Linked DNA regions of Rattus norvegicus. The protein of the gene in region 1 interacts with the protein of each later gene in a pairwise test. Links are inferred from orthologs where the notes say so. Each region holds a gene or a part of one and is shown on either strand. Other genes may lie near its edges.

Evidence for each region.
Region 2: the proteins of Lmo2 (region 1) and Zfp24 interact in binary tests that used the Homo sapiens proteins (3 or more experiments, as listed by UniProt). The two-hybrid records come from large-scale screens. The link is inferred for Rattus norvegicus from reciprocal best matches to the Homo sapiens genes LMO2 and ZNF24.

What each region holds. Positions count from the first base shown.
Region 1 is NC_086021.1:110,820,062-110,824,390, forward strand, and holds the start of Lmo2 (rhombotin-2), read left to right. Parts: upstream 1-1,391; 5' UTR 1,392-1,612; coding exon 1,613-1,619; intron 1,620-1,746; coding exon 1,747-1,966; intron 1,967-4,329. UniProt on the Homo sapiens protein: Acts with TAL1/SCL to regulate red blood cell development. Also acts with LDB1 to maintain erythroid precursors in an immature state.
Region 2 is NC_086036.1:15,578,990-15,583,598, reverse strand, and holds the start of Zfp24 (zinc finger protein 24), read left to right. Parts: upstream 1-1,637; 5' UTR 1,638-1,709; intron 1,710-1,763; exon of another isoform or gene 1,764-2,184; intron 2,185-4,198; 5' UTR 4,199-4,278; coding exon 4,279-4,609. UniProt on the Homo sapiens protein: Transcription factor required for myelination of differentiated oligodendrocytes. Required for the conversion of oligodendrocytes from the premyelinating to the myelinating state.

The DNA of each region.
Region 1 (4,329 bases):
GTGTAGACATTGTAAAGATGTTTGTTTTCTTAATTTAAAGAACAAGGACTTAAATAGGAAAATGTCTTTTTATATACTGGAGGTGGGTTTTGGACCAACCCGAGGGTATGCGCACAGACACAGATTTTAATTATTCCCCTTCAGTATAAATTTCAGGACGTGGAGGCAAGAAAATGACAGGAATCTGTGGGTGTGGTTCAGGTTAGTGCTAAGGAGAAATCAGTGAGGATTTTGCTCTGTACCAGGAACCCAGGATTTCTGTTCTGACTTCAACAATCATCTTCAGGCTATTAAAGCCGTCTTTAAAATGGGACTGAAATGCCTACGTCCTTGATCCAGGCTGTTCTTACTAACGATGGATTCTGAAGGCACTCGGAATTTTCCTCTTCACAAACCTGAAGACTGTCCTCATCATAAGCTAACGGGACTTGAACGATCATTTCTGAACTCAGTTTCAAGGAACTCGAGGCCCGGGAGAACCTAGGTTTTTCTCCCTGCAAAACTAGCTAGCTAGAGTCCTCTTCTTTCCCTTCTGCATTTCTTTGTCCTTCTAGAACTTGCCTTCAAGCCTGAAGGAGAAACCTGTCCTTTTCTTTGCTTTATATAGGGCAAAATAATAGTAAGTAACAACTGTAAGGTTCTTGATTATTGGCAAGGAACTTCCTCCGGTCCAAGTATTGCTGATACTTTGCAGAGAGGGCCAGCCTAACCGCTGGAGTTCGCTCTTTGAAAGATGCTGAGGGAGGGAATTCTGCCGCCAGCAGATGGAGAGGAGACCCGGACAACGTGGTCCCTCCCAGCCACCCTCCCTGCGGGATTAGCTGCCCCCAGCTCTGCTCAGGCGCACCTAGCGCGTGAGGTCCCTGGTCATACAGCTTGCGTCCCCTCTCTGGAGCGCAGTCGCAGCTACGAGCTTGCTGCCAGCAGAGCCGCACTGTCTCAGGCTTCGTAGAGCACCACGACCGTGGTCTTGGGACCTCGAACCCGAGACGAGCGCTCGCTAGCCAGCCACTAGCAACGCTTGCATTTCTTTCCTGCTGGAACCGCCAGGTGGTTACTTTCAGCCTGAAACCAAAGGGAAAGGGCAGAAGGGGAACTCTGAAAAGGACGGTTTAGTGGCAGCGGGCTTCTTGCCCCAGGAGTGGTGCTCAGGGAAGACTCTCGGTCTCTGCCACGGGTCCCTTTAAGAAGCCAAGTCGGGGCTGCCGCCGTCGCCGCTGCTGCTGCTGCCGCCGCTGCTGTTTGGATTCCTAATCCCCAGGAGCCCCGTTTTTTTTTTTTTAAAGGAAGAAAAAAAGGGGGAGGGGGCGGGCAGCTGTCTCTTTAAATGTGATTTCCTTCTATTGTATTTGAATCGTGATCAGGAAAAAGGAAATGAAACCAGAGACAGAGGGAAGCTGAGCGAAAATAGACCTTCGCGAGAGAGGAGGGAGCCCCGGGAGAGCCGCGCGGTCCGCTCCCCGCCCCCAGGCCGCCGCCCCCTCTCTGCCCTCGGCGCCCCGACCCCAGCGAAGGTGCGAGGGGTTCGGGGCGGCCGGGCGGAGCCGGCGACTGCGCGCGATCGGGACCGGGCGGCGGCGGCGGCGGCTGTGGTGACGGCAGCGGGACCGGGATGGAAGGTTAAGTCTTGAGCAGCGGCAGCTGTCGCAGCCGCCGGAGGGAGGCCGGGCTGCTCCCCGGCCCCCTGCCTCGGCCGCCGCGCGCGGGGCAGCTGGGTGATTCGCTCTCTCTCTTTGGCGTTTGAAGGGAGCGCGGTGACTGTCCTTGAGCGTGGAGGGGCGAGCTCGCCGGCCGAGCGACCGAGCAAGAGGAGGCGCAGGAGCGGCGGCGCCCGAGCACCCGAGGGGGTCCGAGTCCAGGCAGCTAGCCAGCCACGCGCCACAAAGGGAGCGCCCCCGCCGCCCGGCACGCCTCCCCCCTCCCCAATGTCCTCGGCCATCGAAAGGAAGAGCCTGGACCCGTCTGAGTAAGTGTGGCGCTTCTCTCCCCGCACCCCACACCGGGTCCCAGGCAAGGCGCGAGGGGCTGACTTCAGGTGCGCGCCCGCAGCATGCCCTTGGTCCCTCGGTGTCGCAGGGGTTCTCTTTCCTCGCGGGTGACTCTGGAGACACCGAGAGGGGCTGGGCGGAACTGGAGGAAGCTGTAAACTGGGATCAACCCCGCGGACCGCTCCGGGCTATCTAGAAAGCTCCCCAAACCTTCACAAGGGCCAGAAAGTTTGCCCAGGAGCAGGCACCCGGAGCTCCGAGGCACAGGTGCAGGGCAGGGAAAGTGGAGGACGAGATTCTGCCTTCTCCCCTTTCGTCCCACCCTCTCCAGATTCCCTTCCTTTTTGTCTATTTGGCTTTGGAAAGAGGGGCATCCCAACCAGAACGTCCCTGGTGTCTCTGACAGTCTACTGCCAGGCCCGGAGTAGAGCAGATAGTCGATGAGGTCCGCCTGTCCATCTGGGGACTGGTTCTGGCCTCCAGAGACTTCTAGAATTGCTAATCCGGAGTTCCTCCGGGTGCATGTTCACCCCTCCCATGAGTCTCCTATTGTGGGCATGTGAACCTCGAAAGTTGGTTCTTTTTTTTTTTTTTTTTTGTTCCAGTGTGTTTTCCTAGGGAACAGAATCTCATCAAACTTTCAGAAGGGCTTGGGGTCAGCGAACCAAGAGTTGTATGAGTATGTACTGTCTTATGCTCTGAGCTTTGCGCTGGTTTGCAAAGAACACCCCCATTCCACAGCCTGTACCCTAGCCCATTCTCTAGATTTAACAAGGGGAGCCAAGAATGAAGGTGTTGGGGGTTTTTTTTGTTTTGTTTTTTGTTGGGTTTTTTTTTTTCATGTCCACACAAATGCCCTTTTAAGAATCATTAGCTGTCTGGTTTTGAGTTTTTATTCCTTTGAAGTCCTCATCTAATCCTTTGAAGGGATTTGTTAACACAAGACCAAAGGAGCTGGTTAATGACTTGTCCATTTGGGCTTTTAAGACGCATTTGTTTTGGTGGGGTTTTTTCCTCCTTTTCTTTTCCTGCTTTAAAAGAATTGTGCTTTCCTGCTGAAGTTTTCCTACTCGCCTCCCCCCCTTCAATTTCAGTCTTGTGTGGTGTTTATTTACCTGGGCTTTACCCTCAGTCAGCAGCATAAAAACCCAGCGTGTTCTCATAAAATACAGGAAGTCCCACGATCCAACGAGAATATAAACATCACTCTTCAGTCTTGAAGGTTAAGACACACAGCTCAGAAAGGAGCTAGGTTTGTTGACATAAAGACCAGCTTCCTTAAAATCTCAGGAAAAACAACAACCCTTTAAAAAAAAGAGTCGGTGTCTGTAGCTTGTTCCCTTTTAAAAATACATTTAAAATTACATCTGAGCCCCGAGTTTTCAGAGATTGGACGAGACATAAGATTACACAGTAAGGGAGTGGGTCTGGCGAACTGGTGTTTACTGCTTTCCTATCAGCACAATTTCACTATGAATCCTATATTAGACATTGAGTCTACAGAGTTTGGTACCTTAAAAAAAAATACTAACTGCATGGATGTGTGTGTGCACCTGAGCGCAGGTGCTCTGGAGGCTAGAGGTGATGAGTCTCCTAGAACAGGAGTCACAGATACTAGCACTCACCTGTTTTGCTTGTGGAGACTCCTGGGTCCTTTGGGAGAACAGAAAACATCCTTAACTGCCAAGCCTTCTCTCCAGCCTGAGGATTGGGTTCTGTAAAGGAAGTTCACTCTGACTAAAGTTTGTGTCTTTTTTGCCCCAGACTAGAAACCTGAAAGGTATCTCACAGCTGTAATAGTGAGCACCCAGTTCATGAGGTCCTCTAGTAGTTCATCCGTCCTACAGAATGTGCCCAGAAAAGGAAGGCTGTAACTGAAGATGGGCAAGCCCTGTGGGAAATGTCTGTGGAACATTTCCCCTCTGTCTGGGAAATTTTTGAGAAATTTTACCAGAAATCAAAGCTAAAGGGACACTCAGGTGTCCTATTTAGGACAGGCTGGTAGAAGGATATCAAATATTAACTTAAGGTAAATCTCATTCAGTCTTTGGCTTGAATTGTTCACCAGAGAGAATGGCATGTCATTAATTATAGAAAGGTAAACTGAGTCAGAGTCTGGTCCTGTCCATATCTGTCCTCAGACCGGCATGTCTCGTTCTCCTGTATCTCACTCTCTTGCCAGCGGCCTCACCGAGTGCTTGCTCGAAGCCAGCTTGGATCTTCACCATCGCATCTCCAGATGCAGGTCAGCCCTTGCCTAGGCTTGTGCAAAGGTATCATGTGCACAGGAAGCCAGAACTCATGCACAGAGATTTCCTTCACCATGCAGTTGGTGATCCCT
Region 2 (4,609 bases), on another chromosome or scaffold:
AAAAAGGGCTTGAAATGACAGTTTTCCAAACTGGGTGCATGCAAAGAAGTAATGTCATAAGGAAATTCCCACTATGGTTCCTTCCCATTCACTACTTTAAAATTAACTGAGAATGGATCAAAAGGCAAAGCAAATTACAAAATGTCACATTTTTTACTTGAGTGGGTTTATTATGTTTTTCAGTATTAACTTGCTATAAAATCTCTTAAAGAAACAAAACAAAGTATGCTTTGAGTTAGCTCTTCGGAATCACAATAGACAAAAAGGTTGCAGAGAACAGCCAAGCCGGATCCTGTCTACAGCCAAACAGGAGATGGGGGAAGGCTGTACTAAAACCTCACAGTGAAGAGTGAAAAGTTACAGGGGTTGTGGGAAGGTGAGCTCTGGCTGGAATGGGAAGTCTTGCTATTCTGTGAGCTGCTTGTTTACTGCTCTCTCATTCACTAACAAGCAGAGGCCGAGGACACTTTGCAGAGGCCCAGGACACTTTGCAGAGGCCCTTCTGAATGAGACAATAGGGCAAGGCTTGAGGATCCTTTAAGTGTTCTGCAAACTTGACCTTTGCTTCTAACAAGACTTTTTCCAAAACAGAGCTCTTTTGTGCGATTTCCGAGACTTGACATGTGACCTAGCAAAGGCCGCAGGCAATGTGACCAGCCCACAATTGATGCATTTATTCAAAGTGTGCTTACTGAGTTTTCTATGTACCAGCCAGCATCCTGAAACTAGGGACAGGGAGGACCCAACTTTTTACAAGACTTTCAAACAAAGCACAGCTAAGTAATGCGATCACTTCTCAGAGTGTCCACAAGCATCTTGAGGCCACCTGGAGGAAAGGGCGTTCATTGGTCAGTGAGGCTGAGGCTGTACAATAAGTCCAAGTCACGCATGGTCAGAAGGCAAAGGCAGGCAACAGACCAGAGATGGCCTACAGAACAACGTAACAATTATTTAATGTCAAGGTAGTTGAGGTAGCTGAAATCCACTTTAAATAGGGAAATGAGGCAATCTAAGTGATTATGACTGCAGCTCTTTTTTTGGCATCAAACAACCAGCATGAGTATATTCTGCAATTCTCTGTGACAAAGGTCTCAACTATCTTGTTTCTTTGATAATCTGTCATAATCTTTGAAACACAGTAGTGGAAGACAATGGTTTGGGGCATGTTTAGAGGCAAACCTTGTTTCAGGGCCAAAGGCTCAATAAGTAAAGATGTGCGGGTAAAGAAAAACGATTTACACGTATTGTACAGCGACGGTGCCTGACACGATCATGGCACGTTTTCAGAACGTTTCAGAACTCTGGAGTAAGCTAGTTACTCCAGAGGGCTCCGGCGAGGAGCACCGGGCACTTGTGAAACTGCCGCCCACGTTCCTCCTGCTCCCCTTTCCTTTCTCTAAAGTGGAACAGAGAGCAACAGTCACTCAGTGAGAGGCGCAAGGCCAAGCGCAGCCTCAATGCGGCCATTGTCATCAAGCGGCACCTCCCCCGCTCACCGCGCGTCCCCATGGCAACTCCGGGCTTCGGCTTCCCCATTCCCTCCCGCCCCCCCCCCCGTCCTGCGGACCGGAAGCCGTGCGCGCCGGGGGCTTGTGGGAAGCGGCTGAAAGCGGCGGCGCAGCGTCTGCCCGGGACGACGAGGCTGTGGCGGGTCCCGAGCCAGAGGTCAGCAGCGCGCGGGGGTAGGGTTCGAGGAGGCGGGGGCTCAGGTAAGGGTCCAGAGGCCGGCGACGCTCAGCATTCCGGGCGTGCGCATAAAAGGCCGCGGCGGCGGAAGGGCGGCGGCGACCTGCGGCACTTCGGGGGTCCGCAGAGCCTCCAGCGCCCGCATCCTCTCCGGCCTGCTTTCCCCTCCCCCACGGGCCGGTTTTGTTCTATTTCGAGGCTCTAGCGGCTCGCGGAGGATTCTGGGAGACGCTCAAGCCGAGGGGGGATCCGGCCGTTCTCGCGCGCGACCTGCTGGGATTTGTAGTCCCGCCGGTCCCGGGCGGAAGTGCCTGTCCTGTGTGGCGGGGTGGTTCTGGGGCTTCTGCAGCCCTTCCTGGTGAATGCTGGGAAGAGGACGTCCGAGTTGCTGGGGCAGGCTGGGCTCAGCGCTGTGAGGCGGGCGGTCGCTGAAGACCAGGATCCCGCCGAGTGCCGGACGGCGTTCCTCCACATCCCACGAGCTTGGTGCAGTACAAAGTAAAAGAAAAAGCAGTTTCTATCACATAGAAATGCTTGATTGCTGATAGAATCGGGTCCAGGAATAAGAACTTAGATTTTGATATCAGGCCATCCCACTCCTGAGTGTCTATATGACCTGTCAGTTTGAGACAGCCTTTTCTGATCTTTTGTCTTCATCTTGATCGGTTTCAATATGGTTTTCTTAAGTTTCTGTCTCTTAAGTTCTTGGCTCTAATAAACAGTAGCCGTAAACTTATTATTCTTTATGTGCTGTAAACCGTGGCACGGCTATGATTTTGCAAATTCCAAAAGCATCAGAAAGTAGCTCAGATTTCCCCAAAGGAAAAGTTAGGGGAAGCTTCATCAGGGAAAAGACTCCCGTACACTGAGAAGTTGTGAGTGCTTTTTCCTAATAGAATTTGCTGTGGTTGAAGCTTGTCACTGTAAGTTTAAATGTATGTATGGTGTGGTGGAAGCCTGAGTAACATTTGTATGTTATGTGAAATAGTTCCTTCCCCAGTGTTATATGATCTGTTACTGAACTGTGTAAAAGAAAGTCTGTGACAAGATCTAATAGCCCAGGTTGGCTTTGCCACATGGATGACCATAATCTTGCTTCTGCATGTAAAGCCTACAATGTTGGGCTTTTGGGCGCATACCTATCTACTAGTGAACATTTTTCGCATATATTTTAAGTTTAGGGAGTTCCTAAACAAACATTAGAGTATTTGTGACAATTCTGGGGATTAGCTCAGCAGTAGAGCATGATGGGTAAGGATAGTCTCTCATTCTGGGGGATTCTAACTGGGAGAACGGTTGATCTATTTCCTACTCCAGGTTTGCAAAAAATGAAAAGTAGGGTGCCTCATCAGGTCGGGGGCTTGTTCCCAAGATCCCAGATTGCACATAGCAGGAGGGAACTAATGTCCCCTGACCTCCACACCTGTGCTGATGTGTTCCAACACGAAATAAATGTCAAAAAACATGTTTTATGTGTCCTACTGTTCTGAATACTTAGTTTGTTATTTTATGTATATTTGCACTGTGTGTTTGCCTGGTGCCTGAGGAGGTGAGAAGAGAGAGGAGTTTGTGGTTCAGGGAAACAAACCAGGGTCCACTGCAGGGGAATGCATTCTTAACTGCTGAACCAACTCTCCAGTCCCAAGCTTCAGGACGTTTGGAGAACACTGAGGTAGACTGCATCTTACCCAGATACTGTAGGCTATTAAATTACCCTTTGTAGACTATATGTCACAAATTAGCAATCTTTTTTTTTTCCTAAAAAGAGCAAGCTGGTAAATATTACATTGTTTTAGATCTTAGCTGAAATCATTGAATACTGTCAACTCTACCACATTATAGCCCAAACCACGATTAAATTTAATGACTTATATACACAAAATGTAAACATATTAATGGGGCTGGAGAGATGGCTCAGTGGTTAAGAGCACTGGCTGCTCTTCCAGAGGACCCAAGTTCAATTCCCAGCACCCACATGGCAGCTCACAACTGTCTCTAACTCCAGTTCTAAGGGGTCTGACATCCTCACACAGACATACATGCAAGCAAAAACAGTGTACATAAACCATTTTTAAAGACATTTTTACATCTTGTGTGTGTGTTTGTCTGTCTGTCTCTGTGTGTGTGTCTGTCTGTCCCACTTGTGAAGACCAGACTTGCAGAAATAATTTTTCTCTTATGTACATGTTGGTCATTGGACTCAAGTCATCAGGCCTTTGCCAGATGAGTAACCTTGCTGGTCCTAGACAGACACATCATATTTTCTCAGCATGAAGTATTTCTGTACTTTTTTAGTCATTAAAACGTTTACACTACTTCTCTACGGATGGTGTAGCAGGCAGCAGGGTAAATAGGCTGTGGTTTACCAGCTATGGCAGACTTTCAGTCAGTGTAAGTTATTGATTTCAAGTTTTAATCAAGTAAAGCAATGTATCTCTTTTTTTTTCCTTCTGCTTTTCGAATATCATGGGGTACTTGGTGATTTATGTGTTTTTTATTTCTTGTACCTTAGGAGTACTTTTGAGGAAAACAGGGTATTTCTGAGGTCTGTACCTTGCCTCAGTTGCCTTTTCTTGGAGGTATTGTAACAGGATGTCTGCCCAGTCAGTGGAAGAAGATTCAATACTTATCATCCCAAATCCAGATGAAGAAGAAAAAATTCTGAGAGTGAAACTAGAGGAGGATCCTGACGGTGAAGAAGGATCGAGCATTTCCTGGAACCATCTCCCTGACCCGGAGATTTTCCGGCAGCGGTTCAGGCAGTTTGGATACCAGGATTCACCAGGACCGCGAGAGGCGGTGAGCCAGCTCCGAGAACTGTGCCGCCTGTGGCTCAGACCGGAGACGCACACGAAGGAGCAGATACTGGAGCTGGTGGTTTTGGAGCAGTTTGTCGCCATCCTCCCCAGGGAGCTACAGACTT